Diceros bicornis minor: one gene and its partner. The protein of the gene in region 1 binds, or shares a complex with, the protein of each later gene. Links are inferred from orthologs where the notes say so. Each region holds a gene or a part of one and is shown on either strand. Other genes may lie near its edges.

Region 1 (14,742 bases):
CTTCTCAAACGTCAACTTTCCCAGACTTAAGAAGAACCCGGGAATTTTGTCTGAAATGCAGGTTCTAGGGATGCATCTTCCCTGCCCAATTCTGCTTCAGGGGGTCTAAGGTGGAGTCCTGGTATGTTTTAAGAACCTCTTCCGGTGATTCTGAGGTTGAAGCCAATAGAGTGTAATTGCGCCTTAGTGCCACTAGATGAAGCCACGAGTCCAGAGAATGGTCTGACCCAGGCGGCTCCCAACCCTAAGGCTGCGTCACCAAGAGTGGCCACCAGATGGCGCAGCCCGCCTGCAGGAGGAGCCGCTGCCCTGATGTGAGGTGGGGCCGGGACAGCCTCGCCTTACAGAATCAGTGGTCGGAGGGCTACGCGTCCTTCCCTGCCGAGGGGGGTTCTAGCCCCAGAGAGGAGCCCTGAGCCAGGGGAGGCCAGTTCTATTTCAGGGTGATGGGCATCCAACCCCTGTCCCCATCAAAGCCCCATCCGCCAGTGGTCTTGGTACTCGCTCCTAGTGTAAAGGCTTTGCACTTCAGTAGGTGCTCAATAAAGACTTTGAACAGATACACACACACACACACACACACACACACACACACACAGGCCTGCTTGGTGAGCCCTGCAGGAAACACAATTATTATAAAGGTAGAGATCAACCAATTATTAAGTGCGTAGTGCATGCATGCCAGGCGCTGTGTTGTGTTTGATAAACACTAACAGCTTCTCCCCCAGCATGAGAGATGGTTATTATGAGTGTTGGACAAATAAGGGGAGTGGGGTTCCACGAGGTTGTCACCAGGGGTCACACCGTGAGTAAGCTGTGGTTGGTACCCAAACGCGGTGGCAGAACAAGGGCTCGGAATCAAGGAGGGCTCCCTGGAGGTGAGATCTGAGCTGGTTTTAAAAGTCGGGTGGAGTCATGGATCAGCCAAGGTGGGGCATCTAGAGAACATTCCTGAGCAAAGGGGAAACCAGTGAGCCAAGGGCAGCCGAGGGGCAGGGGGGTGTTTGTCTGCAGGGGTGCTGGAAGGGGGCAGAAGACAGTGGGGCTGGGGAGCTGGCTGACAGAGGGCCCAGCAGCAGGGGAGGCAGCAGCTGCTGCGGGGGAAAGACTCAGTCAACTCACGTTTCAGCACCACACTTACATGTTGTGTGTCCTTGGTCAAGCCACTTCACTTCTCTGGGCTCACCTTTCCCATCATACTCAGAGCCTAGTCACAGGTTCATGGGGACGACTGAGTAGCCACCTGTGTGAAGGTGCCGGCCACAGTGGCTGGTTCAACGTGAGCCCCTGGAGGTGCTGGTTTTCTTCCCCTTACTGTGTGGCCCGGGCAAATCCTCCTCTGTGCCTCAGTTTCCCCATCCCCCCAGGGCAGTCGCGTAGAGTGGTGGTTGAGCAAGGGCTGAGGGGTCAGGGAGCCCCGAGAGGCATCCTGGTGCTGAGGCTGGGTCCGTGACATTGACCAGGTCTGCCTCTCGGTGCCTCAGTTTCCCAACTATAAAACGGGGATCCTGACAATACCACCTACTTCAAAGGAACACAATGGAAATTCACCGTCCATAAAAGAGCTAGCGGGGGGGGGGGGGGGGGGGGGGGGGGCAGGTGGCTTAGCGGTTAGGTGCGCGCACTCCGCTACTGGCGGCCCGGGTTCAGATCCCGAGTGCGCACTGACGCACTGCTTCTCCGGCCATGCTGAGGCCGCGTCCCACATACAGCGACTAGAAGGACGTGCAACTATGACATACAACTATCTACTGGGGCTTTGGGGGAAAAAAGGAGGAGGATTGGCAACAGATGTTAGCTCAGAGCCGGTCTTCCTCAGCAAAAAGAGGAGGATTAGCACGGATGTTAGCTCAGGGCTCATCTTCCTCACAAAAAAAAAAAAAAAAATGAGTTAGCGCTGCGCCCGACACGCAGTGGCGCTCAGGCTCTCCCAGGGGTGACCGTCATTAGCAGAGCGGCGTCCGCGGACCATCTCCAGGCTCCATCCGCGCGCTGGTGAGTCTTGAGTGAGCAACCTCGTGCTTCCTCTTCTCGTCCTTCCCAGCGACCCCCGCCTCTCGTCTGCCGTCCACCATCAGTGCCCCAAGAGCTCGGGCAAGCCCCGTGACCTCCGGCTGTGCCCCTGGTCTGGGCCTCCCTCTCCCCAGACCGCGGGTGGCCTCCCATTCTCCAGGGAGGCCAGCCTACAACACAACATACACAACACAACAAACGCATGGGCTGCCCAAATGCTCCCCCTCCTCCGGAAAAGCATGGTCCCCAACCCCAGCCCACCCAGGGGACAGCGCCTCACCGCAGAGGACCCCGCGGCTCTGTGGGGGATGCTGGCAGGATGGATTGCCGGGGACGCCCAGCCTGAGGTGGGAATTAGGGAGTGGGAGGTCTGTTAAGGGCTGCTGTTGGGACCACCACCCGCGCAAGGGGAGGGGAGGACGCGGACGGGGCAGGGGGAGGAGGTGGGCTGCGGTCCAGCTGCTGTGCATCTCGACAGAGGCCTCATCCGGACTCGGGGGAAACTGGAAACCCGGGGCGCCCCGCAGAGGAGTCCATCTGGGGCCCGGGGACAGAGGCTTTATAGCCCTGCACCAACCAGGCGTGGGCTCGAGAGAGGCCGTGCGCTCCGCGCAGGCCATCCCCGGAGGGCGGCCAGCCGGCCAGCAGCACACGCCCGCCGGGGGACAGGTCCTCCGGCCCCCGGGGCCCCGGGCGCACGCCACCCCGCCTGCCGCAGACCCCATTTCTCTGGGGGAGTCCTCTCCGCAGCCTCCCTGCTGCGCCCCCGCCGGCCTGAACGCCTCCCGGGGCAGGGAGCCCGCTGCTGGGTTTCCATCCGCCCCCCGGGCCCGCGCTGCCCGGCGGCTCGCGCAGGCCGGGATGTGGCGCCTCCTCCCGCTGCTCTGGGGCCCGCGGGCCCGTCTCTGCTCTGACAGCTCTCCCACCTCGCGGTGCCCCGAGGAGGGCTCGGCCCCCAGGAGCGGAGGAGGGGGGGTCGCTGCCTGCAGACAGACAGACACACGCCGCCACAGACGCTGACTGGCGCAGCCTCGTCCCCCGGGGACTCGGAATGCCGCCCGAAGCAGCTCAGTGGGGCCTTTCCCAGATATCACAGGTCCCACCCAGCACGCTTTCAGCGACAAGTAACAGAAATGCTGCCCACATCGGATTAGAACAGGGCCTGTTAGAACAGGGCTCATGGAACTGAGAAATCCAGGACGAGACTGCTTTCAGGTAAGGCTGGATCCAGGGTCCCAAACAGTGTCCCCGAATCTGTGTCTTCTGCTTTCCCCTCACTCTGCGGCCGGTGTCACCCCCCCACTCCCAGACAGAAGCCGGCAGGAAGCTCCTGGGCCCGAGAGCTCCATGCTCCTACGGCCCAGGCCTGGGCCACAGCGAGGAGGTGCGGTTTCCCAAGGAGAAGGGAGAGTGCTGTGGACAGAAGAACCGAGAGTGGGGGCTGACAAGCACAAACCACAGCCCAGCCAGAGGCCGTCCATGTGGGCAAACCCAAGGCTAAGAGCCCAGCAGGGAGAGAGAGGGCAGGTGGGCAGGGGTGGAGGCTGGGGGAGGCAGGGACCAGAGACTCAGAGGCCCCACAGGGTGTGGTGGGGACAGGATGGAGGGCCAACAGGCAAGGTGGGGGCGGCCAGGAAGGAAGCCATTGGCCCACCTGTCCTTCCCAGCCCAGCCAGGATCTTTAAGCTGTCTGAAGGTCCTTGTGTCCACCCAACTAGTCCAGGCAGTTGTCTCAGCCTACTTTATGGAGCCTTTAAAGTCTCATTCCTTCGTGTCACTGTTGGGAAGTCCCACTTGAAGTCTACCCTAAGTTTCTCCTGCTGTTGATTACAAATTAACAGCTCTGTCCTCAGACCCTCCAAAGTCTAAAGTGGTCAGTTCTCACCTGACCTCCACATGACAGAAAGGGAAGACCTAGGATGGAGTCTGTGCGTTTATAAGACAAAGGAAGCCCCAGAGTTTTGAGTCATTCAAAATGACTCCTAGATAACCCAGGTCAGAGCCCTCCAGTGCTCATTCTGGCCTTTCCTCCTACTCTGGGGACCACCTTATCATCCCCACCTCTGGCTACTGAGCCTGCCCATCCATCTTCCCACGTCTAGGGGAGAATCACTAATTTTATTCAACTATTTATTCAACAAATTATCGAGTACCTACTATGTGCTAAACCCTTCTAGGTACTGGGCCACAGCTGACATTCTGGAGGAATGGCAAGTGTCAATAAACAAACAAGAAATTAAAGTAACAAGATTGTATCTGCGGGAAGGAAATAACACAGGGGGCAGATCATTTGGGGTCAATCAAAGAAGGCTTCAGTGAGGAGGTGGCATTTGAGCTGCAATCTAACAGACGGGAAGCTTTGCAGGCCAAGGAGCAGGTGTATTGGTTAGGTCCTCTGGGAAGTACATTCGCAGGGGGAGTGAGGAGTTCTGTCCGCTCCTCCACACAGCCCTCCACCTCCCACCCCACCGGGGACAAAATCCTCAGCCCCTGCGCCCCGGCTCCCCCCACACCCCACCCACAGGCTTTGGACTTAATCCCTTTGTCAGTAGCTCTCTCGGAATTAGCCTCATCCGGGAGAGCCATCTGCTCCCCGCTGGGTTCCCCACTGCTATGGAGAGGTCACGGCAGGTCACGCGGGGCTCTGCGGGGCTCTGCAGGCCGCGGCGAGCAAGTGGGCTTTATTCCAAGAGTGGGTTGAAGTTGGTAAAGGGTTTTAGGCACAGGGTAGCCGGGCCTGCTGAGCCTCTGAGCCTGGAATCCATAAGCGTGGGCCCGGGGCTGGGGTCCCAGCAGGAAACCTGAAGGTCCCTGGGTTCCCTGCCCCCAGAGAAGGTCCCGCCTCACTCCTCTAGGACTATTAGCGCTGGCACACTCGTGTGCCCCCAGGAGTGCTTCTCAGGTGTCCCCGAGACAAGAGGCAGAGACAAAATGAGGGAGGGCCGTGACCTCAGGCAGGCCGTGACTGGTCCTGGTTTCTCAGCTGAGTCAGGATGCTCAGGCTGCAAGTGACAGAAACTCAACCCAAACGGGCGTAAGCAAAACACAACACCAAGTTGGGAGGAGGGGATGTATTGGCTCACAAGCTAAAAAGCTCAGGGTACTCCGGCTGCAGGTAGGGCTGGATCCAGGAGCTCAGCTGACGGCAGCAGGAGCTCAGTGTCACCACTTCTGCTCTCTTTACTGTAACTTCCTCTCAGGAAGCCTCTGTCCCTAAGGGCAACTCCACCAACTTCATTTAGAGCTGAAAGTGTAGGCTGCGCCCCAAATGCCTCCAGCGAAAATCCCAGAATTAATTCTCATTGGCTCCAACAGACTCTCCAGCCCATCTCTGAACCATCACCTAGCCAGCAGCACTAGATCTGCTTTTTAGCCAGGCTTGCGTCACATGGACCCAGGAGCCAGAAGGTAGGTCACAGCCACTGAACCTCATAGACCAAGGGTTGGGGAGAGGAGGCTCCCCAAAGGAGAATTAAGGGGCAGCTACACAGGCAGGAGGACAGGGGCTTGGAAGGCATAAGCCACAGACGGCCACTACCTCCCCCAGCACACCGCCTTCGTATGCTTGGGGTCTCGCCTCATCGTCTTCCTTCTTCGTCAGTGCAAACTTCATCTCGATGCTGCTGTGCCACAGCACAGGGAACAGTGTTCACTAAAGTTTTCCTGAATGAATGAATGAATGACAGAAATTTATGCCATATTCTGGCATCTCCTAATTGTAGCCTGTATTCATTTCCCAGAGCTGCCTTAACAAAGTAGCACAAACTGGGTGGTTTAAAATATCCGAAGTTTATTCTTTCGCAGTTCTGGAGGCTCAAAGTCCAAAATCAAGGTGTCGGCAGGGCCACGCTCTCTCCGAAGACTCTAGGGAAAACCCTTCCTTGCCTTTTCCAGCTTCTAGGAGCTCCCAACAATCCTTGATGTTCCTTCCCTGTATGTCTCCAATCTCTGCCTCCGTGGTGCACGGAGTTCTCACCGTGTGTCTCTGTGCAAATTTCGTCTTCTTATAAGGACACCATTCCCTGGGTTAGGGCCCAGCCCGATCCACTATGACCCCATCTTATCTTGATTATATCGGCAAAGACTCTATTTCCAAATGAGGACACATTTACAGGTACTGGAGGTTAGGACTTGCACGTATCTTTTGGGGGGACACAATTCTACCCACTGTGCCGACCATTTACACCTGTATTAGGATGCCTAAAAGATGCTGCAGTAATGACCGTCTCCCCAGATCTCAGTGGTTTACCATGGAAAAGTCTGTTTTTCATTTACAAAGTCTACAGTGGGTCTGGTTGCTCTCATTTTATGATTCTCCCACATCAACATGGGGCTCCCAGGGTCACCCTGCTACGTTAGCATGGCAGAGAGAGCTAAAGGGATACAGGGACCCCGAAGTGTATCGCATGTGCTCACCAACAAGTCCACTACCACTAGATACTGTCTATGCTCTCCCAGTCCCTTGTGCCTCTAAATTGGCACCAAGCACCTTCACTGGACACCAACGCCCTTGGAATGCCAAATCTACACAGGTTGTTCAGAGGTGCTGTCAAAGCTGCCCTCTGCCAGAGGAGCCCCAAAGCTATGTTGTTTAAGCCCCAATCTCTCACAAAGACTTTTGGGAAAAGATTAAACCTGAAATGGGGCAAGTGATACAAATGAGCTGAGTGAGTCACATGCAAGGCAATAGAGAATGGTGGGGACTGTGGCAAACCAAAGTACACGCCTCATCTAAAGGGGGCAGCTGCTATTCAGCTACAGCTAATTGTTGCCATGTGGCAACTGGCACTCAGTATTGCCAGATTTGGGGGAATTTTCAAAAGAAAACCAGAAAGTCAGATTTTTACATGAAGTTTCCCAAATTTCAAGATGCTATTCAGGCTGGATTCAGCCCACAGGCCACGAGTTTGCAAACCATGCTTTAGTGAGGCAACTTTTTCCGTTTTCACTCCCAGCTCTTGGCTCTCCAACCTGGCTCTCTGGCTATCCACAGGACATGGACAGGAGCCAAATGGGGCTGAGCCAGGAGGCAACCCCCTTCCCCCACTGACCTCAGAGTCATCTTCCTGCAAACAGCCAGGGCCTCTCCCCGGGTCAGGCCGATGGGCCCTGCTCCCTCCTGAACGGCAAAGTACCTCCCAGGGGGCCCCTTCTAGACGGACTCTGGCAGGTCAGCTGCGCACGCCTGCCAGACAAGCCTGTACTTGCCCGAAGCCCACTGAGGCCCGAGCTGCAGAGGCTCTTGGGTTCTTAGATAAAGACCAGACTCACCACCACGACCTCCACGGCTCTCACGGGCAGCTTGTTGCCGACCCTTTCAGCCCATGACTTTGCTCCTCAAATCCATCCCTGCTGACCCCCGGTCCCAGCTCCTCCCCTCCCAGGCTGGTCTCTGCTGACCCCCGTCCCACCTCCTCCTCTGCTGACCCCCAGTCCCATGTCCTCACCCTGCCCCCACCCTTTGCAGAGAGAGGGAACTTCCTTCTCCAGTGCATCTTGCTGTCTTTCATCTTTGGACCTTTGTGTATGTTGTTCCCTAGATTGTGCCTAAAACATCCCTCCCATCACCCCCTACCCACCCAGCAGTCCTATTCAGGTCTCAGCTCAGAAGCCACTTCTTCCAAGCAGCCTTCCCTGACCATCTTTACTAGTTTAGGAGCTGAAGTCAGGTGTCCCCATAGCCGCTGGAGCTCCCCATCACAGTTTAGCGTGTAATTAATTCTCTTTCCTGAGAGACGGAGGGGACGTTCCTCAGAGACAGGGGCCATTCCAAATGTGTATCTAGCACCTAGCACTATGTCTGAGGCCAAGAGAATGCTTAAATATTTGCAGAAGGAGGAAAGAAAGGAGGGAAAGAGAGGAGGAAGGAAGGGAAGAAGGAAGGAAGGGAGGAAGGGAGGGAGGAAGGTGGAACTCTCCCCTTTATCTGTTTCCATCTCTCTGGCTCTTTCCATTTCTGTCCATCTCTCTCGTCTCTGTCTCCATCTCTAAACATTTAAAATCTCTGTCTCTGACCATCTATCCGTGCAGCTGATCATCTGTTTCTGACCCTTCCTCCCCATCTCTGATCCCTGTCCCCGGGAGTGCAGGACGTCCTGTCCTCCGGGCGCCCCTCCGAGAACCGCTGCTGTCCAACCTCAGGACGTCAAGCGTCTAGAGGGCCGCACCAGATGTTTCCCCGCAGGGGGTCCTTAGGCTCGGCGCCCGGATTGGGGGGTAGGAGTAGAAAGGTCGCGCACTGATGGTGCGCGCAGAGGCCTGGAGCCGCTGGCAGGGGGAGGGGGGCGGGAAGAAGCGGAGAGAGGAAGAGAGAGGAGAAAAGAGGAGGAGGGCGAGCGGAGGAGTGGGGCGGAGAGGGGCGGACCCGAGTGCGCCCCCCCTCCCTCCCTGCGCTGCCAGCGCCCTCCCAGCCCAGCCGGCCACATCTGGCGGCTGCCCTCCCTTGTTTCCGCTGCATCCAGACTTCCCTCCGGCGGCGGCTGGAGGCTGCGCATCTGGGGCTTTAAACATACAAAGGGACTGCCAGCGCCGGCGAGAACGGGCGGCGGCGGCGCGGGCTGGGGCGCGGGGGCCGGACCATGCGCCGCTGAGCCGGGCAAAGCCGAGGCCACCGAGTCGAGCGGCCCCTCGGAGCGCAGGCTGCGCGGCGGAGCAGGCGCCAGCCAGGCGGCGACGCGGCCACACACACCGAGCCAGCGACCCCCGGGCGACGCGCGGGGCCCGGGAGCGCAATGACCGAGGCGCGAGTGGCCCGCGGCGCGCTCGCCGGCCCCCTGCGGGCGCTCTGCGTCCTGGGCTGCCTGTTGGGCCGCGCCGCCGCCGCGCCGTCGCCCATCATCAAGTTCCCTGGAGATGTCGCCCCTAAAACGGACAAAGAGTTGGCTGTGGTGAGTTGCTACGCTGGCCTCAACCAGCCAAGTTTAAACAAACTTCGGAGGCAAGGGATGGGGGTCTCCCCGCCACCCCTGCCCCCACGCCTACGTGGGGCACACAGCATGGGGGAGGGCCTTCAGTAAACAGCTTGGGGGGTCCTTGGCAAGCTGAAGGAGGAATCTCTTTTGCAACCCGTGGGGGAGCTTTGGTAAGTGGAGAATGCCTTTGATAACAACTTGGCAACTTTCAGGACACGGCAGGGAGGCGAGAAACAAGCGGGGGAGGGGAAGGAGGTGCTTTGGCAAACAGATGGAAAGGACCCCTTTTGTAAATAACGGGGACATTGTCTAGTATCTGGGGGATCTGGCAAGGGGGGCGGCTTTGTAAACAACTTTTGGACACATCTGGGGGTTGGCTAACAAGGCCCTTGGCAAGCGTCTTGGTAGGCCTTTGGCAAAAGGCCTAAAGTGGTCTCTTTTGCAAATGGTAGAGGATCTTTTTAAACTCCTGTGGGACTTTGGGAGGAGGGTCCTTTGGCACACAATTTGGTTAAACTTTCGCACACGTGAGGATGGGAGCTCTGGGCAAAGCGGGACTTGGCAAACCTTTGGAACCTTCTGGGAACCTTTGGCACACATCTGGAAAGAGGCCTTGGACAAACCACGCGAAGGACCTTTTGGCAAATATTTGGGGCAGGGGAGAAGCAGAGAGTGCAACTTTTCCGCCTGGCTCAATGGACAAGAGGTTCCAGGGTTGGACCTCGGAGAGTTTCCTTGAGCTTCTCCAAAGGGGTCGGAGCACAGAAGGAGAAGGAGAGAAGCGGCGGGCGGGCGAGGGAGGGGCAGGCACCGGAGGGCCCCGGCGCGTGGGGCGGGGGCGGCCCTAGCCGGCGCGGGTCGGAGAGCGGCCAGCGAGCCCTCCCTCTTGGCGCGGCTCCGAGCTGCGGCTCAGAGGTTGTTTTGCGAGAGCGCGCGCCTGGCTCGAGGGGCGGCTCGAGGGGAGCCACGACCTCAGTGCTGCACAGGCGGAGCTGGGGGCAGCGGAAGGACACTGCGCCTCCCCCTGTAAGCACCTCTGGCTCGGGACGCCCAGCGTGTACCTTCCAGCCCATGAGGCATCTGCCCTCTTATTGCTGCAGCCACCCTAGAAACCCCCATTTTCCTCAGCCTGGTCCCCAGCCTGCCCAGGACAGGACTCCCAGGCCCTCTGGTCACCCTGGGAACCCCTTCTCAGGATGTGACACCCCCCCTTTCCAGCATCTAGGCCTCTGCCCTCTCTGGGTAAATGGGTTGGGAGACCTTACATTTTTAGGGCGCCGCTTTTCTCCAGGGTCTGGAGCTGGCCGGCTAGTGATGTGGCCCTTGGTTGGGGGTGACAGTAGAGCACTGACAAAGTTGCCTGGGTCCCCACACCTTCTGCACATTGTGGAAGTCCACGTTCTCCAGAGGCAGTGCAGGGGGGTGCTTGAGAAGAAGGCTCTGGACTTGGAGGGCCAGGCTTCAAACCAGAGAGCACACTAACCAGCCGGCCTAGTGATCTCGGGCAGGTGACAACGTCTCAGTCTCAGCTGCTTCTGCAGACTGAAGATAAAGATGCTACCTGTCGCAGGGTTAAAGGAGCGGTCACCTTAGACACTTCGAAGGGTCCATGACACATGATAAGCACTCGGTGTTAGCCATTATTATTATTTATGTCATTGTTATTGTTATTATACCCTCTCCTACCTTCCCCCCCAAACGAGGTTAGGGCCTCTGCAGTAAGGTCTCCTGGCTCCTTTCACCGTTCCGACACAGTCCCCATCACGTATTTAATTTTGCATTCATGTGTGGTCCGTCAGCCTGCCCACCTGGGGATTTGAACCCTAGAGGCTAGAAACATCTGTCGTGTTCACCGGTTTATCCACAGCGCCAGTGCAGGGCTTGGCACATGATAGGTGTCAAAAAACATTTGTGGGACAAATGAATGTGTTGGTTGGTCCCTGACGCTCTGCAGGGGTCTGTTTGGTTTTGGCCTCAGTTTAGGCAGAGCCAGCTGTGCGGCTCCTGAAGGAGAGGACCATTTTCTTTTTGGAGATGGCAGATCCGGGATTTGAACCCAGATCTGACTGCTGCTGCAGCCCGGGCACATAGCCCTTGAATCTCCTTATAAGAAAAGTGAGGAAAATCATCCGTGTGTCATCAGCCGTTAGTAGATTAAAAGAGGTGATGGAGATGAAGAAGGGTGGTAGAGAGTTACAGTTCCCAGCAAGGGCTCTGGAGCCGGATTGCTTGGGTCCAAATCCAGCTCTGATATTTGTGAGCTGTGTGATCTTGGGCAAGTTTCTTAACTTCTCTGTGCTCTGCGTATGATGGAGACAGTAATCATATCTACATGATAGAGTTTTCGTGAGCATTAGATGAGTTAACACTTGCTGACTTCAGTGCCTGAGCATATAGTAAGCACCCTAGCTGTGCTCTCTACAGTTTTTATGTCACTCAGCTAGCGGGTGACAGAGCTGGTTTGGGAACCCAGCGCTCCACCCAGTGCCCTTGGGTCCCTGACTGCTTTGGTCAGAACTGTGCCATCCTAACGTGGCTGCTTGCCCCGGGTGCTCGTCTCTTCCAGCAATACCTGAACACCTTCTACGGCTGCCCCAAGGAGAGTTGCAACCTGTTTGTGCTGAAGGACACGCTGAAGAAGATGCAGAAGTTCTTTGGGCTCCCCCAGACGGGTGAACTCGACCAGAGCACCATCGAGACCATGCGGAAGCCGCGCTGTGGCAACCCCGACGTGGCCAACTACAACTTCTTCCCCCGCAAGCCCAAGTGGGACAAAAACCAGATCACGTACAGGTGCTGAGGCGGGGCGGTGGGGGACCCTGGGCTCTGGACACTGGGTCTCCGTGGGCCCCGGGAGGTGTCTTATGAGGGCTTGGTACCTTAAGGAGTTTGCACACAAAGTTTTTAGGAACTGGAGTCTCACAGACCTGGACTTCAGTCTCACACTTACCAGCTGAGGGGCTTTGGGCGACTTGCCAGGGCTCTGAGCCTTGGCTTTTCAATCTACAAAATGGGGCTGAAACAAAACCTTCCTCATAGGTTAGTTGGGAACTAAGCTAGATCGCATCTATAAAGGGCTTTCACAGTGTCCAGTATATAGTAAGAGTATAGTAAGTACTAGTCATTATTGTTATTAGATGGGGTCTTTGGGGCAGGCAGAGGGAACTCGACGGTTGGTTGCTAATTGGGTTTTATATTATATTATAGAGTTGTTATCATTGGTTGTTAGTAGGGTTGAGAGCTGTGTTCTATATGGCTCATGAGGGATTCCAAAGATGAGGTCTCTGCCCTGTTTCCCATAATGCGCTGTTTATGCCCCTGCCTATGTCCCCCTCCCCACCCCCAGCCAGACGTGAAGGATGAGACTCTTGAGACAGGGCCTGAAGATACGGGCTGGTCTAGGACTCCACGGGACATCAAGGCGTTCTGGGCCGGCTCTTCTCCCAGTGAGCTCTGCTCAACATGCACACACATATACCTGCACATACATGCACACTCATGCGCACACATTTGTGCATACTCACATGTTCATGCACAAACTCATGCACCTCTCACATGCTTTCGCACACTTGTGCACATGCATGCACCCTTGCACACATTTGTGCATGCTCACATGCACACAGTGGCATATACACACTTGTACACGTGCATATGCACACTCACACTCCGTGGCACACCCACACACACTCACATGCATTTCTACCTCCTCCAGGATCATTGGCTACACGCCTGATCTGGACCCCGAGACGGTGGATAGTGCCTTTGCTCGTGCCTTCCAAGTCTGGAGTGATGTGACCCCACTACGGTTTTCTCGCATCCATGACGGAGAGGCTGACATCATGATCAACTTCGGCCGCTGGGGTAGGCAGAAGAAGGGCCACCAGGGGGTCCATGTAGAGACAAGGGGGTGATCTGGCCATCAGAGAGGCACGGGGGTCCTGAAGGCAGCTTAGATAGGAGAGTAGGAGATGTAGACGCTGCAGTAGTGTAGATGGAAGCAGACAGCGGAGAGCCAGCTTGATGTGGGGCAGGTGACGTGACACTGGGTATGCTCTGGAGGCAGTGTAAACCAGAAACCAGGTGGTCTCCCGGCACCGTCCAGCATGGTAGCCGCTGGGTACATAGGCTATCCAAATTTAAATTAGTTAGAATTAAGTAAAATTTAAAATTCAGTTGCTTGGTCACACTAGCCATATTTCAGGCGCTCAGTAGCCTCATGAGGCTACGGGCTATTGAATTAAACAGCAAAAGAACATTCCCGTCGTCACAGAAAGTTCTATTGGATAATGCTGGTATCACTGAGGAACTCTAGATATGAGAGTGGGTCAGAAACAATGGAGCAGTGTAGACATGAGAGCAAGTGGAATAGAGCCCGGGGTCAAGGGTCTCATGTTGGTTGTTGGTATGAACACTGGCAGTAGTGTAGACATGAAGGTAGGTAGTGTAGACATTGTGAATGGTGTAGTGATGTGGGTAAAGGGCAGAGGAGACAATGGAGACAGGTAGGTGGGTGGTATGGACCTGGGTGGCAAAGTAGGCATGAGGGTTAGTTTTGTGGATATTGCTGATCGTATGACGTGAAGGTAGGTCGTACGGCTAAAAGGGCGGTGTGGACGTGAGGGTAGAAGGTGTAGACGCTGGGTACAGTGAGGGTGAGTGGCGAGGACACTGGTGTGGCAGTGTACGTGTGTGGGTAGGTATAGTGTCATCAGTGGTAGTGTAGACAATGAAGGTAGAGATACTGGGGCCCTGTAGACTTGAGGGAGTAGTGTAGACCCCAGGATGGTAACAATCAAGTCAGCAACTCTCTACTGACTCGCTGTGTCCCCAGTCCTGGATAACCCCAGCAGGACAGGGAAGGGGACAGATGCTTGGTGGTAAAGGCCCCCAGCCATGGATTAGGGGGTGGCTGGGCGTCAGGGCCCAGCTGGGGCAGCTGAAAGCTGAGACCCGGTGTGTTTCAGAGCATGGAGATGGATACCCCTTTGATGGCAAGGATGGGCTGCTGGCTCACGCCTTCGCCCCGGGCCCTGGTGTTGGGGGAGACTCCCACTTTGACGACGATGAGCTGTGGACCCTGGGAGAAGGGCAAGGTAAGAAGGGACCATCCACATGCCCCAAGCCTCCTCTCCAGTCCTCTGCATGCCTCCCTGTCCTCTAGCAACTAGGCCTGTGGCTTCCCTGGCAACCTCGGGCACCTCCATCTGCTCTGATGGGACCAGAGAGATGGGAGAGGGAGGGAGGCCACGCCCCTGGGTGAGTCGGAGTCCTGGTCTCCAAAGAAAGGCCTGGAGGGGTTCACCTCCCCCGTGTTGCCCCCAGTGGTCCGTGTAAAGTACGGGAACGCCGACGGGGAGTACTGCAAGTTCCCCTTCCTCTTCAACGGCAAGGAGTATACCAGCTGCACCGACACGGGCCGCAGCGACGGCTTCCTCTGGTGTTCCACCACCTACAACTTCGACAAGGACGGCAAATACGGCTTCTGCCCCCACGAAGGTGAGCGTCCACCTCAGCCTCCACGTCCCCGGGCTTCCCACCATACCCTGCCCTCCGTGCTCCCCAGGCCTGGCGCTGCCAGTCAACCAGCGTGCCCTCAACTTCCTTCAGGCCCCACCCTTCCCATTGGAGCCACTGCTGCGTCCTGTCACTTGTATGCCCGTTTACTTAATACTTTCATTAAATCTATTCCATTTTTTTGAGGTCTCACCATTAGCAATAATATTTGTGAAGTCACAGGTTTGATGTGCAAATTATTTTGTTCTAACATGCGTTAGAATGAACTTAGAACTATTAAAATGCCCAGTGGTTCTCTCTAGAA
Region 2 (14,572 bases), on another chromosome or scaffold:
ATGTCAGGGTGCAGGCAGTGAGCCCCGACACACACGTAAGGAGCCCGGAAGCCCTCCCCGTGGCCCCGCCGCCAACCATACTCCCTCCCCACCCCTCTCCCTGTTGACTCCCATGTCATCCAAGAACCCTCGGCTCTGAGTAATAAATGCGCCTCTCGGCGGGACATGTGTTTTCAATCATTCTGCTCAGCGGTGAGTCACCACCAACAGCTGCTGCCTGTCTCCGTCTCCCACCACTCACCTTCAGATCCGCCATGCTGACAGCCCAGGCCCTGCCCCCACCCCAGCTCTGTGCTCAGCCCGCCTGACCCTCTTGGAGCTCCTGTGTCCTCCTACCTCTAGGCCTTCACTCAGGCCAGTCCTTCCATCTAGAACATCCAGATCTTCCATCTTCATGCAGGCCAGTTTCCCCATCTAGAACCATGCCTCCCCGCTTTATCTGGATAACTCTTACCAACCTCCAGGGCTCATTTATCCCAGGCAGCCTCTCCAGACCACCCCGACCTCACTGACGGCCTTGCTCCACCATCTAGCACCCTACACCCGCTTGGCAATCGTCTCTGTCTGTGTTTCTACTAAAGGGTGGTTTGTGCTGGAGGAGGGAAGAGACTGCTTTAGTTCCATCCCCATCCCCAGCTCTGCACATGCCTGGCACACAGCTGGCGCCCAAACATGTTGAATGAATGAATGAGCTATAACCTTAAGAAGTAGGGCGTCATGGGGAGACAGACATGAAGACAAGGAACCCATGAGAGAAAACACAAGGAAACTAAGGAGTCCAGGTCATGGGCTACAGAAGGGCAGTTTCCATCTCTGCCCCTCCTCAGGGCAACCCGCTCTCCACACAACCCCAGATGGGCATCGCCCTAGGGTGGAAATCAATCACCTGCCACCATCAGCTGGCTGGGCTGGCTGGGCTGGCTCTCTGGAGCAGGGTGAGGAGGGATCTGAGGCCACTTCCAGGCTGCATGGGGAAGGAGGGCTAGAGCCACCTGTGTCTGGTGGGGACTGGGGGGTCGGGGCGCGGGGAGGGCCAAGAAGGGAATGCCTGTGGGCTACTTGCCAGACACGAGGCCACGTCGGGGCATCCCCTTACCCGTCCTGAGGAGTCAGACCACAGTCCGACTTGATGGGGAGCACCGAGGGGGACCCAGAGCATCCTCCACGTCTGCAGGAAGCCCAGCGCAGCTTGGGTGCTGGGAGACATTGCCTGCCCAGACCCCAGTGCCTTCCCTGTGGGCATCCATGCAACATGGATCTGGGGTCAGGTGACACCTGTGAGGGGAGGCTGAGCAGGAGCTGAACAGAAGGGGCACTGAGCAATGACTAGCTGGCAGCCTTGTTCCGGGCGAGGGAATGCCAGCACAGAGCCAGGGTGACACGGGAAGAGGAGAGAAGCAGCGGCATTTGGGGTAGGACTGCTCACACGAGCCCACTTCTACCCAGGGGCTGGGCAAGCCCAGGGAGACACGGGACCAGAGCGAGCCCCTGTCTGTCAGCCCCTCTTGCCTGTGGAGCTGGGCAGCTCTCTCCTAGCTGAGGAGAGGATGAGAGTGCCAAACACAGAGGGCCAGCGAGCCAGACCCCAAACTCCAGAAACCAGCTGGAAATGGCAGCAAGGACTTGATGAATCACTTCCCAAGGAACCGGGCTTCTCTCGGCCTTTATCACAGCTCCGTGGCCTTCTGATCTCTTTGTTGGTGACCAGAGCCACCCCAAAGCAAGCTCTTTCTGTCGTCTGGCATTTCAAGGCTGAGTGAGGGCCTTTAGGAATTCTGTCTCTCACCCTCACCCTGTACTCCACAGGGTGACGTCTAGGGGCCGAGACCTATCCCATATGCTCCAAAGCCGGTCACAGAGGGATGGAGGCAGGTTGGAATCTGAAGGTGACAAGACGCTGGACTGGGGACAGAGGAGCTTGGTGCTGGTGACCATAGGGCTGACCTCACTGAGAACCTGAAGCATCCCTGGAGAAGAGAGTCGGGGGCGGGAGAAGGAGAAAAAAAGAAGACAAGGCAGCAACATAGAAAGAAAAATAGGATTGGGGAGAGGGAAGGAGAGAGAGAGGAAATTCTTGGGCACAGTCCTAATCATAGCCTTGAAATGAAATTTACTGCTGCACTCAGCATGGGACGCCAGCCAGCGCCTCAAACCAGCCCCCCTTCTGTTTGGATTAGGCGATGACATCATGGCCATGGGCCGTCACTCCCGACACCAAAGGAAGAGGAGGACGGCGCTGCGGCGGGAAACCTGGGCCTCGCCTCTGGGCTTCCAGGGAGGGAACCTGAAACCACGAAAACTCAGCCTCAACAAACCCCTGCTGAGCTGGGCAGCCAGTTCCCGAGGTGTCCCCGCCCCTTGCTCCTGGCCAGCCCCTGGTCCTGGAACGCCAGCTGAGGCTGTGTCCTGGAGAAAGCCCGGGATGGAGGAGCACTGGGTTCCCATCTCTGCTCGCTGGCCCTGCTCCCTAACCCGCCCATGAAAGGAAGCACATGACCACATGCCCAGGGCCAAAAGGAAAGAGCCTGGGCAGGAGAAAATGCAGAGCAGCAGGCCTGATGGAGAGCCACGCTCACCATCTCTCTCAGTCCTTTGTTTTTCACAGGAACGAAGTCTAAGCGAGGACCCAGGAGAGCCCGTGCAGGGAGACGTGGGAGGCAGACAGGTGGGCCAGTGGGCAGTGGAAGAGGAAGGTAGAGCTCAGGTGTGTGGACTCCTGGGAATCCTGGGGTGCAGATTAATGCAGGAGCTGCTCCCAGAACCCTCCCTCACTCCTCGAAGGAGGGCACGGGGCCCTGCTTGAACCCGCCTGGCAGGACGGGAGACCCTTCTGAGTCAGAGAGGTAAAACATGGCCACAAGGAGGAGAGGCAGTGCCGTTTCAGAGTCCATGTGGGACAAGGTCTGCAGAGGCGTCCAGGCACAGGGGGTGACATCGTTGCTGTGCCAGAGCCGCTCCCTTGGAGGAAGGGGTTATGTGCTTCCAGTCCACGCACGTGATCCCAGACGTTGTAGATGTGGCAGTCTCCTCAAGCCAATGCCCTCCTGAGCTTCCCGGCCACCCCCAGGACAGCAACCGTCCCTGCCTCCTTTCTTTCTGAAGTGATTCTAGACTGGACCAGAGCCACAAGGGTTGGTGTTGAGACCGCTGCCCGGTCTGTGAAGGCTGTGCTCTGCATAGCAGGGAGCAGGGGTGCAGACCCAGGCAGGTTTGCAAGGTGGGTGCCCTGGCCCAAGGCTGCCTTTGGGAGGGGAGGAAGAGGGAGTGACAGAGGTGTAGGTGAAGAATGAAGGAGAAGGGCCAAGCCCCACCTCCTTAAAGATGCCCTATGGGGTGGCATAAAATACAGCCACAGACGCAGCACAAGAAATCCCAGTGGAAGACGTGAGCCAAGAGTAGTGTGGACGACAGAGGGGTCATTTGGACGACAGAGGGGTCATTTGAAAGTAAGTGCCTTGAGGAGCTGACAGCCCTGGCAGGCTCTAATAATGCTGTACAGACAGTAGAGAAAAGTATCCGTATTTCTGCCCCAGGAGCTGTCCATTTTAGGGTTGAAAACTGCTTTCTCTGCACAAGGAGAGGATATGACACCCATCCCGTCACCTAAGCTCCCACCACTGGAGACACTCCACTGCCTTTTCAGTGAACACCGTTTATACATCTGTCTACATCCATGCATATGTATAATTTCATATAAATGAAATATTATGCATGCTGTTTACTCATGGACAGTTTTTAAACACAACCTTTCTAATATCCCTTGCCTCCCCTCTCTCCCCTGAGAACCAGTGTGGACCGGCTGGTGTGTCATCCCCCCCGCTCTCTGGTCACACCTTGATACACTGACTCTCCCATATGCATTATTATTTGCTCGACAGAAATGGGACCTTGCTGTTTACATCTCTATATTTTGCTTTCTTCACGGCCAAAGATTTTTATTAGTTTTGCTAGGTTAGGGATTATTGACCAAGGCGGTTTTGCCCCCCAGGGGACATTAGGCAATGTCTGGAGACATGTTGGGTTGTCACAACCGGGGGGGGCGGTGCTATTGGCATCTAGAAGGTGGAGGCCAGGGATGTTGCTCAACACCCCTCAGTGCACAGGACGGCCCTGCCAGAGAATGCCTGGCCCAAAGGTCAGCAGGGCCGAGGCTGAGAAGCTGGCCCAAGCTGAAGAGGACAAGTCATGGAATTAATGAAAGGAAACGAAAATCGAAACGTCCTTTAGAGTGTCCGCTGCTGATCAAGAAGATGCTTATGTTGACTGTGCAGTGAACTGTGGGCCAGTTCGTGCCACAGACGGCCCAATCATTCTTGACTCACCTTCCTGTCATCTTCGGGATGTCCCGTGGTAAACAGGGAACGTTGGGGAGAGATGTCTGGGCTGGGTGGCACCACGCACCTACTGGGGCCATGAGTCTGATGTCCAGAGTTGACGGGGAGCCCGTCGTGACCCTGATGCCAGCTGCCCCTTCTTCTCTGAAGGCCACACATCACAAACTGCAGAAACTTGCCAGACTGCCAGGCACACTTCCTGAGTGTGTGGGGCCAATTTTAATGCCCATACATTATAGAGCGTCTGGCTCTCCGGAACCTGTTGGAAGGAGTGTGGGGGCTTCAGCTCCGCTCCAGCTGTCTCTAGGGAGAGAATGTTCCAGGCTCAGAAGGAAATGGATCTTCTCCAAACTGGGAGACTGACTCTACAAGAAGAGGCGCTTCCAATGACCGTCCTCGTGCTGGGTGGACAGAGCCTGGTTCAGAGGGCCTCCTGCCCGAGGCCTGTGAGGTCATTCTGACTCTGTTTACCTGAGGGGAGCGGGAGTGAGGAGGCATTGGCACTTCCTCCTGGCCCTGGACAACATTTACTCTGCCAAGCCAAGCCCAGGACATGTTTGCTGGGTGTACTCATGTCACATGCTGGGATGGGCCGACAGCTCTGCTGGGTCCTGTGATGGGAAAGTCTTTGAGGGGGAGGCAGGGGCAAGGTGAGTGTTCCTGGTGGGAAGTGGTGGCCCAGGGAGTGTGGTCTGAGGGTCCTGGAAGCCCCCTCCCCACTGGCCTGGTAGGTGCTGCCCCCTCCTGTCTACCCTGAGTCCTGCTGGGAGCCACAGATAAAAGCTGAGGTCCAGCAGGCTGTGGTCAGAACGCACACGGGGGCCCGGGCCAGGGTCTCCTACATGGCTCCTCTCTAAGCCCAATATCGAGGCAGAGGAGGCTGGTCAGGAGAGGGGGTGACAGAGGGAGCTACCAGCCCCAGGGGCCTCCTTCCCCGTTCCCTCTCCTGCCTGAGTGCAGTGTCCTGACCCTGTCCTCTCTCCCAGGGCAGAGGTCAGACCTGCAGCCGGTCCCCTGCATTCCTCCTGTGCTGTGTTGCCCTCTTGGCGGTGGAGCAGCGAGCACAGAAAGAGCATCTTGTTGATGCCGGTAGCCAGGTTCTCACCTATTCCCATCTTCAGTAGCTTCTGTATCTGAGGTCTCAGGTCCCTTGGTTTTGAGATGGGAAGATTCTAACTGGAAGAGGATGATGGAGAGGAAGGAGAGGTCAGTGGGACTGAGGCTGGGCTCCCGGGAGCCAAGGCCACCGTGGGCACTGGGCGGCAGTAATGGCTGGGGCAGGTCGGGGTGTGGTGGGGGACACTGAACTGGGAAGACATGGAGGTTTCAGGGACTGCTCTGTCCCTTCACCTGCTCTGCCCTCTGAGAGTCATTTAACGCTTGACGCCTCATGCCTCGTGACAACAGCCACCACGTGCACCAGATTTTAGAGCCTTAGGTCAGCCATTCACAGCAATGCACTAGGAAGGGACTTTTTATCACCATTTTGTCGATGTGGAGGCGGGGGCTTGGCGAGGCCATGAAGGCAGCTGGGCTGTGAGTCTCCCAGTCACGCCGGAGCCCTCTGCCCCCATTCCTATCGACCCCACCACAGAGCTGTGTGCTTGCAGAGGGGCCCACTCTGCCCATCTGCTCCAAACCCTCCAAGGGCTCTGACTTCGCACTCAGAATAAAATGCACATCCCCTCCCAGCCCCTCTCCCTGCCTCCTCTTCCCTCACTTTCCTCCTTCACTGGCTCAGGGGGCTTTCCCCTCACTGTCCCGGGGAATTTGGCTGTCCTATGGACTTTTTTTTTTTTTTTTTTTGGTGAGGAAGATCAGCCCTGAGCTAACATCCCTGCTAATCCTCCTCTTTTTGCTGAGGAAGACCCGCTCTGAGCTAACATCTATTGCCAGTCCTCCTCCTTTTTTTTTTTTTCCTCCCCCCCAAAGCCCCAGTAGATAGTTGTACGTCATAGTTGCACATCCTTCTAGTTGCTGTATGCGGGACGCGGCCTCAGCATGGCCGGAGAAGCGGTGCGTCGGTGCGCGTCCGGGATCCGAACCCGGGCCACCCGTAGCGGAGCGCGCGCACTTAACCGCTAAGCCACGGGGCCGGCCCTGTCCTATGGACTTCTGAATGTCCTGCTCTTCGGACAGTGTCCACTGTAGATGCTCAAGTAAGCATTGCTGATGGATGGAAGGAAGGAAGGGAGGGAGGGAGGGGCGGGGGGGGGCGAGGAAGGAAGGAGGGGAGGGAGGGAAGGAGCAAGTCCAGGCTCCTTATTTCCACCCCTGTGCAGCTCCCCTTTCTGGCCACCATTGTAACGTATTTCTGACCCTCACATACACTAGATCACTCCCTGCATATCTTTCCTACAAGACTAACAGCCCCTAAGTTATCTGTTTCTCTCATAAACTGACAAATTGATTTTAGATTCTGTAAAGTTCAACAGCATTTTGTTCCACTTGTAATAAAAAAGAAAGGAAGAAAGAAAAAGCCTACAGGTGGCCAACATGTTATAATTTCCCGAATACACTGTACTTTAAAAAGTTAGCATCAAACATCATTTCACAAACGACATAACTCGATTTTATATGCACAAAAGCTGAAAAAGTGACTTTGGGTTTGTCAGGGTGCTAAAAATAACTGCTCTGCCTATTTAACTTTTCTCCAAGTTGTCTGTTTCAAAGCACACGTAAACAAAAAGACACTGTTTTTCCATTCTTTCAGTATTTTCCAGTTTCGTATCTCAAGTCAGCACCACACCATGCAGCAGGCAATTACTCTTTAATTGTGTCATTTTCCTCCATTTACTTCTCCCTACTAGATGACAAACGCCCTGCGGGCAGCAGTGAGGTCCTCTGTGTACCAGCGCCCATGCAGAGGGCTGGGGGCAGGCTCAGCGACAGGTAGACAGCGACCCCGGTGGTCACACTTCACATGTGGTTCACACCTCTAAGTTCCTCTGCCTTTCCTGGAACACACTGTTTTGGGAAAAGTCCTTCAGCTCCCACATTTGTGGGCTAAGGGAGGGAACTGTGAACAGAGCCCAGCAAAGGCCTTCATCCAATCCTACCGCCTGCTGGGCTCCTGGGCCCACCCTCCTGGCTCTCGTTGACTGGTCAAAAATATGGCCAGTTTAGATAAAATCCTGTTTTGTTCATAGTAACCACGCCCCCTCCCCCTTCCACCAGACTGGCCAAGCGCACTTAAAATTCTAAGGCCTCCATATGAAAAAGGAATCCTCAGTAAGCTTCAGGAGGCCACCCACCCACAGAGGGCATGGGGAGGGGGCGGCAGGGAATGACCCCTGCTCCACATCGCACATCTGTTTTGCTCAATCCCTGGCTAGAATCGAAGGGAACCCGGGGTGGAAGGGAATCAGGCAGTGTACACCTCCCGTGCCAAGCTGGAGGGGAAGGGGTTTGGGGGACGCCGCCTAGTGCCCTGGAGGGGTGGGCCGCGAGTCCCAAGTGCTGAGTCAGGGCCCACTGGGCGCTGTCCGCCCCGCAGCGCCCCCGCCCCCCATCTCTCGCGATTTGGGCGGCTGTGGGGTGCTGCCCCGGGCGGTGGGAAGCCAGGTGCGCAACGGCGGGCTCCAGACGTACCAGGCCCGGCACAACAAAAGCCCTGGTTTGGGAGAGGGCCGGGGAGGCGCGGGAGGCGCGCGAGGAGGGGGCGCCGGGAGCTCCCGGAGCCTGCATTGGCCGCCCGCCACCGGGAGGCGGAGCCGCAAATCCTTGCAGCGCAATAAATGGCCGGCCCGGCGCGAGCCCGCAGCGCACACATCCATAGAAGGCGGTGGAGGTAGCCGGGTCTCGGGCCGCGCGCGCTAGCTCGCCCCGCCGCCCCTCACCCGCTTTCTTCTCCGCCGCGTAACCCGCTGCCCGGCCCCCGCTGGCCCCTCGCCGCCCCGGCGACAGAGACCCGAGAAAGTTTGTGCGGCGAGTGCGGGCCGGGTGCGGAGGGCGCGCCCGCGGAGCGCAGCGGAGCCCCGCGCAGCCCCCGCCCGCCGAGAGGGGAGCGCCCCGAGCCCAGGCGGCGGCGGCCGAGCCCCGAGCCCGCGCCCCCGGCCCGCGCCCCCCGCTCGCCATGGGCGCCGCGGCCCGCAGCCTGCCGCTCGCGCTCGGCCTGCTGCTGCTGGGGACGCTGCTCCGTCCGACCGACGCCTGCAGCTGCTCCCCGGTGCACCCGCAACAGGCGTTTTGCAATGCAGATGTAGGTAAGGACGGCGACCGCGCCCCGGCCCGGTGCCCATCTCCCCCGCGGGGCGCGCGGGACCCCTGATGTTCCGCAGGCGCCCCGCCCGCCGCATTTTGCAGAGGACCCAGCGCCCGCCTCCCGGCCCTCGGCGCCTTCTTGAATCCTGCAAGTGGACGCCAAAATCGCACTTTCTTTTTCCCTTCCTTTTCTCCCTTTCCTTCCTTCTCTGCTGAGATGTTCTCAACCTCAAAATTCCACCGAAATTCCGCTGCAGCTCCAGCCCCGGAAAAGGGAGCCAGGGAACGGATTGGGTTTTGGCAGGCGGAGGACCCTGGGATGCCAGGGCGGGGGCGGGGAGAGTGGGGGACATACCGTGGGGCGGGGTGGGGGGGTGGTCACGGCCTCGGTGGGCTGGAAGACTGGGGGCCCCAGGAAGAAACTCAACAGGTGAGATGGGAGTTGGGCTCCTCTGGACTTGGGGCTCGGTGGGGAAGGGCTTCTCTGCCTGGGCCTCTCCCACCAGCACCATTTGGGGGCTCACTGGATTAAGCCTGGGTACAATGGAAGCTTCTCTCCCCTGGGCAGGTTCCTGGGCTTGGACGGGCAGCTGAGAAAGGGCTGCAGGGCCAGCTCTTTGCTCTACACCCTGCCCAGGAGGCAGCGTGCCCAGGGCCAGACAGAGAGGATGGTCCTTGAGTGATTTGGTGCCCGTGACTGCTTTTTCAGGACATTCACAGCAACTGGAGACTTTGGGGCACCTGAGGTTGTGTGGCTGCTTGGAATCGCCAGAAAATATCTTGTCACCCTCAGGACTCCTTGTCCCCCAAAGATGGGAGCTAGCGAGGGAGGGAGGAGCCCACTTGTTTGTTCTGATTCACAGAGAGGCAGGAGACAGAAGCAGGGAGAACGCAGCAGAACTGGGAGGAACCAGCTGGGCCCTGGAGGTTTCCATCCAGGTCTGACACTTGCAGGCCTCTGCCTCCCTGGTAATGGTCAGCCAGGTTTTCCTGGGGCAAGTTCAGTTTAACCAAAAGGACAGATGTGTAGCAGGTGGGCCTCTGCAGCCCCCTCTGACTTCTCAACAGGTTTATTTTCTGGTCCTGCATCTGTGCCAGCTGAGCATCCTGTTGCCAGGCCAGATGTGGTGAGGCTGGGCTCCCCTCACCTTTGCAGACTCAAAGCCAGGGTCTCTGGGTTTCTTCTGTTGTCAGCCACGCCTTCCTGATCTCCCCACACCCCACCCCACATATACCCCCCCCCCCCGCCCCCGCGGCTCCTGGCCACACCCTAGTTGGCTGCCTAGCCAGGGAGTCTTTAGGTGCTCCTATCAGTGGGCATCCCGTGACTCAGGCCACCTGGCTTGGAGCGCAGTGCGTGCTTCAGAGTACTTTCTACGAAACCTGAGTTGGGGGAGGTAAGAACTGTTCTCCCGTTGGCTTTGCTGCTCAGCAAGATTTGAGGGGGAAGGAGAGGCTCCTCCCAATGGGGGAGCCCAGATTGGCCTTCCCTAGGGGTGTCCCCTGGGAGTCCGGGCCTGTCTAGGCCCCTTTGCTAAGAGACAAGCTGTGCTTCTGACTAGCGAGTCATGGGGCAGAATCAGGCCCAGGCCCGGGAGGAATCCGTGGCTCGTTAAGACTCCGAGGCTTGGTTTGCAGGAGCTGAGTGGGAAGGGGCTGGGCCTCGAGGCCACCCCATACTCCTCAGCTGCGTGGGGAAAACATGCAGCTGGCCACTCCCGTGCTTGCGCAGCGTCAGCTAAGGTTGGGGCTGTTTCTGCTTTGGGTTTGGATCAAGGGCAGCAAAGGGTCAGGTTCAAGAAGCTTCAGTTATGTCTTGAGGTTTGCACGTTACTCTCTCCTCCTCTCACCTCCTCTCTCCTCTGCCTGGATCTTCTGGCATTTGTGTCCAATTCTCTGCATCAGAATCATTGGAGAGCCAAAACTTTTAACCCCATCCCAGCTTGGAGGCCCCCTCAGGCCTGCTGATGCTGGAGTTGACTGCAGAGCCCAGTGCAGTAGCTCCCTGGGGCTGCTGTGATGGATTACCACAGACTAGGGGGCTTACAACAGCAGGAGTTGGTTCTCTCTCAGTTTAGGAGGCCCAGAGCCCCACATCAAGGGCTAGGCAGTGTTGGTTCCTTCTGGGGGCTCTGAGGGAGAGTCTGTTCTAGGCCTCTCTCCCAGCTCCTGGCGGCTCCAGGCGCCTTGACTGGTAGACACCTCACTCCCATCTCTGCTTCGTCTTCACACGGCCTTTTCCGTGTGTGTCTGTGTCCAAATTTCCCTCTTCTTATAAGGAGACCAGTCATTGGATTTAGGGCCCACCCTAATCCAGTATGACCTCATCTTAATTTGATCACATCTGCAAAGACCCTTTCCAAATAAGGTGACATTCACAGGTTCTAGCTGGACATGAATTTTAGGGGGATGCTATTCAAGCCAGCTGCCTGATCTCATTTCACACTTAGCCCTTCTGTGCTCGGTCAACTCGGGATCCAGAGCCGAGACATTTCAGGGTGGGCCCCGGGTGGCCCTGGAGTAAACCTCCCAGCGAAAGCAGTGGCCCTTTCCCGTTGCTTCTCCTTTACGTGGTGCAGGTTGCTGACTTCCTTGACAGCAATCCTCCACTCTGGCCTAAAGCAGATCTGCTTGGGGTCTTTTAAAGGTCACTCCGGTCTGGGTCCCTTTACAGACACCGGGAATCTGACTCAGGCCTCGAGTTTTGTAGTTTTAAAAGCCCCACAGGTGATTTTGTGCACCAGGGCCATGACCCAGGGGTCAGGGGAAGAGTGCTGGCCTGGTGCACATTGGGAGTTACTAAAGGCTGACCTTTAATGTGGTGTGCTGGCTCCTTTAACTGCTGACTGGATGCAGGCTTGTTAAATGGCTTGGTGCCTGCAAGAGGCAGTTGGCTTAAGAAGCAGATTTCTGTGTGCCAGTGTGAGGATTTCGGGGAGGCATCTCCCCAGCTCTTGCAGCTGGTAGAGTTGGAACTGTGGTCGGCAGAAAGAGTTGGTCACGTGGTTAGGAGATTTAGGATGAAGGGGACGGTGGGCAAGAGGGGATCTGGGCTCTTCCCGAAGCCCCGCTCCCCGTTCTTTCCAGGAAAGTGAGGACAAGCGGGGAGCATCTCATGTCTCAGCACCCCTCCGTTGTGCTGCTGGCCTCACCTCCTCTCATCTTGCCTAATGGAGCCCTGCGCCATCTCCTGCAAGCCTGCGCAGCCCCAGTAATCTGCTGGGCGCCAGCTCTGGCCATGCTCTTCAGGCAGTGCCGTGGTGCCGGGAGCCTGGACTCAGCCACTGAGCGTCTTGGCAGACCAGGGCTGCTGGGCAGGTTTCTGGAGTCACGGGTAAACCCAGGAACCCTCTGGATTCAGAGAAGAAACTCTCCCCTCCGGCCTGGGGGGCAGTGCCCAAAGCCATATGACTCCAGAAGCACTCCCGTGATGCTGTCTTTCCCATCTCCAGACACTGCTTTCTGCAGACCCTCTGATGGACTGATCACCAGGTGGAGACGGGCCCACAGCCAAGGCCACGTGCTGATTGGCAGGGTGAATGGGCCGGCCTTGTGCACCCAGTGGTGGGACCCAGATAGTGGCCACCCCAGAAAACATGCAGCAGGCCCTTAGAAATGGCTCTGTCTTCACCAGACATGTGTGCTCAGGGGAGACAAGGCAAATGAGATTCCTATAAATTGAATCAGGCCTTAGGTGCATGGGGGCCAGGGTGGGGGTGGTGCCCTTCAAAGGAACTATTGGTGACTCCTGCAGAGTGCATAATTGGTTTGGGTTACATCCTGGTTTTCATATTGGGTTTGTCTATGTTTCAAGAGGCAGTTATGGAGTGGCTGGCTCCCCCTTGGGTGGGTAAGGGAGAAGCAAGGCGTCATCCTATCCCCAGGAGGGGTGCGCTAGACACCAGTGCTAGGCAGTGTGGAAGTAGGTCTAAACCTGTGGGTCAGGGTGTGCAGAAGCCCTGCAGACCCCACCCCGACCGCCAGGGCGTGTTATAACGTCGGTCAGACTCGACGTGCTTTGGGCACATAATTAAGTCACTGTGTGGCAAGGTGAAATGCATTTGCAGCATCTGAAGATAGAGAGTTCTGATGGAGGTTGGGGGGTGGGCAAGGGGACTGGAGTTCCTGGGCTTGTTTTGGACAGTGTCCCTGGAAGGATATGTTCTCCAGGGGAGTGACTGAACCTGCCTTGGGAGACGGGAAGAGATGTGTGAAGGGCACGGAGGCTGCTCTGTGGGTATGGCAGGTGGATGGAAGGGAGCTCACCGGACACGGTGCGTTCCTCCTCCTCTGGGATCTTAGGACACGGTGCTGGCCTGCAGCCTGGGACCTGCTCGGTCCTCTGGAGTGTGCAGTCCTGGCCAGTGGCCCACAAGCTGCAAGCAGGCTTGGGTCCTGCCTCTCCTCTCCACCGTCTCAGCTGGGTTGCCAGGAAGATCCCACTGGTACGGGCTCTGCAGTCCAAATCCTTTGGTGACGTGTGAGGGCATGGAGAACAGGGGTACAGACGGCTCCCAGGCTTATGGGGCAGGGAGGGGGGCACACAGCCACCCTAGTCCTGATGCAGAGCCACTGATCTGATAGGAGCACCTGCCCCGGACACTCCCTCCACCCCACAATGTGTACACGCTAACAAACAAAGGACCAAGGGCAGGTGGTCCTGTCGTTAGGATGGTCTTTCTGGAAAGAGAAAGCAGAGTTAGGAAATCAAGGTTGAGGAGCGTGAAGAATCCTGAATTGGAGGACAGGGCGAGGTGACATTTTCCCCAGGCATTGTTAAGTGCATCATTAGTGGTGGCGGGTGAGGGCGTGCACGAGTGTGCTAAGCAAAGGATCCAACTGCCTGGGCAAAGGTGAGAGAGAGTTCTGGGTATAGAGCAGGGGGCTTAGGGGCAGGGGCATCTGAGAGGGAGAGGGGACCAAATGTTGCCACTCTGGCTTATCACGTGGAGTCTGCATTCCATGCGGAGGACCCAAGGCAAGCCATTGAGGATGTGCACCTGTGGATGACAGCAGGCATCGCCCCGGGCATTTGCTGCAAGGCAGACGCCTGAACTGGCGTCCTGAGTTGGAGCCTTGGGGCCCTGGGGCGTGGGTATTGGTATTTCTAAGACTGTGCAGGTGCTTCTGACACCCGCCAAAGTTTTCACAGAGCCGTTGTCTCCAAAGTGGGGTCCCCAAGACAATTTTGGTTCAAGTAGAGAATGTTACAGATATTTAGTACACAGATTGACAGCTGCACTTGTACATAATTTTAAATGAACAGAGAGGTGTTGAGAGTGCTTGGCCAAGGTTCTGTTTTGTTGCTAGAGGGTCTGAACAAGAAGTGGAGACTGCAGGGACCACAGGGTGTCGGGGCGGAGGGGTAGAGAAGATGCCCCAGAATGCCAGGAGGAGAGGCAGCAAAGGGGCGGGGGGGGGGGGAGGGAGACGTCCAGACTGAGGACTGGTCAGGAGGGCCAGTGTCTCGGGGCAGGTGGATGAAGCTGGCTCCCTCAGTCCAGACCTGGGACCCCTCAGGGCCCACCCCGCTGGACCCCTGAGGTCTGGGCTGGCTGGAATCCCTGTGTGGATAAGCAGCTCCAATGGAAAAATGACCGAGACCCAGGGGAGTCCCATTTTGTGGGTCACAAATTGAGCTGCTCCCTGGGTCAGCTATGTCCCAGTAGCATCCTAGGTTAAGTTTCTGGACACCCCAGAAGGACGGACTGGGCAAGTGTTGGCTCTAAAACGCCAATCGAGATGTAGTCCTTATAAGGAAGGGTCTCAACCTTGGGCATATGGACCTCTGTCCAGAGATGGGCCTGGGGGAGTCTTGAGCCCTGAAACTATAAGCAAAGCTGTGTGTGTGTGCGTGCGCGTTCGTGCCCGTGTCTTTCTGTGAACGGGTCGTGGCTTCCACCAGATTCTCAAAGGGGTGTGTGACCCCTAAAAGGCTAGTCGCTGCCATTTAAAAAGTCTTTTTATGGCTTGTAGGGGAGAGTGGAAGACACGGTGGGCAGGGTCACTGGAACCGAAGCGTGGGCAGCCTTGAG

What was found.
Region 2: the proteins of MMP2 (region 1) and TIMP2 are in contact, whole or in part, in a crystal structure (PDB 1GXD), measured with the Homo sapiens proteins. The link is inferred for Diceros bicornis minor from reciprocal best matches to the Homo sapiens genes MMP2 and TIMP2. Residues at the interface, in NP_004521.1 of Homo sapiens: Trp574, Lys576, Asn577, Lys579, Tyr581, Phe588, Arg590, Lys595, Asp599, Phe602, Lys604, Ile606, Ala607, Asp608, Ala609, Trp610, Asn611, Ala612, Asp615, Tyr636, Leu638, Leu645, Lys646, Ser647, Val648, Lys649, Phe650, Gly651, Ser652; in NP_003246.1 of Homo sapiens: Ile162, Pro163, Cys164, Tyr165, Ile166, Pro169, Leu173, Met175, Val178, Thr179, Phe191, Arg196, Asp198, Ser200, Cys201, Ala202, Trp203, Tyr204, Arg205, Ala208, Lys211, Gln212, Glu213, Phe214, Leu215, Asp216, Glu218.

Annotation. Positions count from the first base shown.
Region 1 is NC_080771.1:8,397,421-8,412,162, forward strand, and holds the start of MMP2 (72 kDa type IV collagenase), read left to right. Parts: upstream 1-8,444; 5' UTR 8,445-8,744; coding exon 8,745-8,900; intron 8,901-11,490; coding exon 11,491-11,717; intron 11,718-12,636; coding exon 12,637-12,785; intron 12,786-13,888; coding exon 13,889-14,017; intron 14,018-14,246; coding exon 14,247-14,420; intron 14,421-14,742.
Region 2 is NC_080757.1:58,675,468-58,690,039, reverse strand, and holds the start of TIMP2 (metalloproteinase inhibitor 2), read left to right. Parts: upstream 1-8,113; 5' UTR 8,114-8,409; coding exon 8,410-8,539; intron 8,540-14,572. UniProt on the Homo sapiens protein: Complexes with metalloproteinases (such as collagenases) and irreversibly inactivates them by binding to their catalytic zinc cofactor. Known to act on MMP-1, MMP-2, MMP-3, MMP-7, MMP-8, MMP-9, MMP-10, MMP-13, MMP-14, MMP-15, MMP-16 and MMP-19.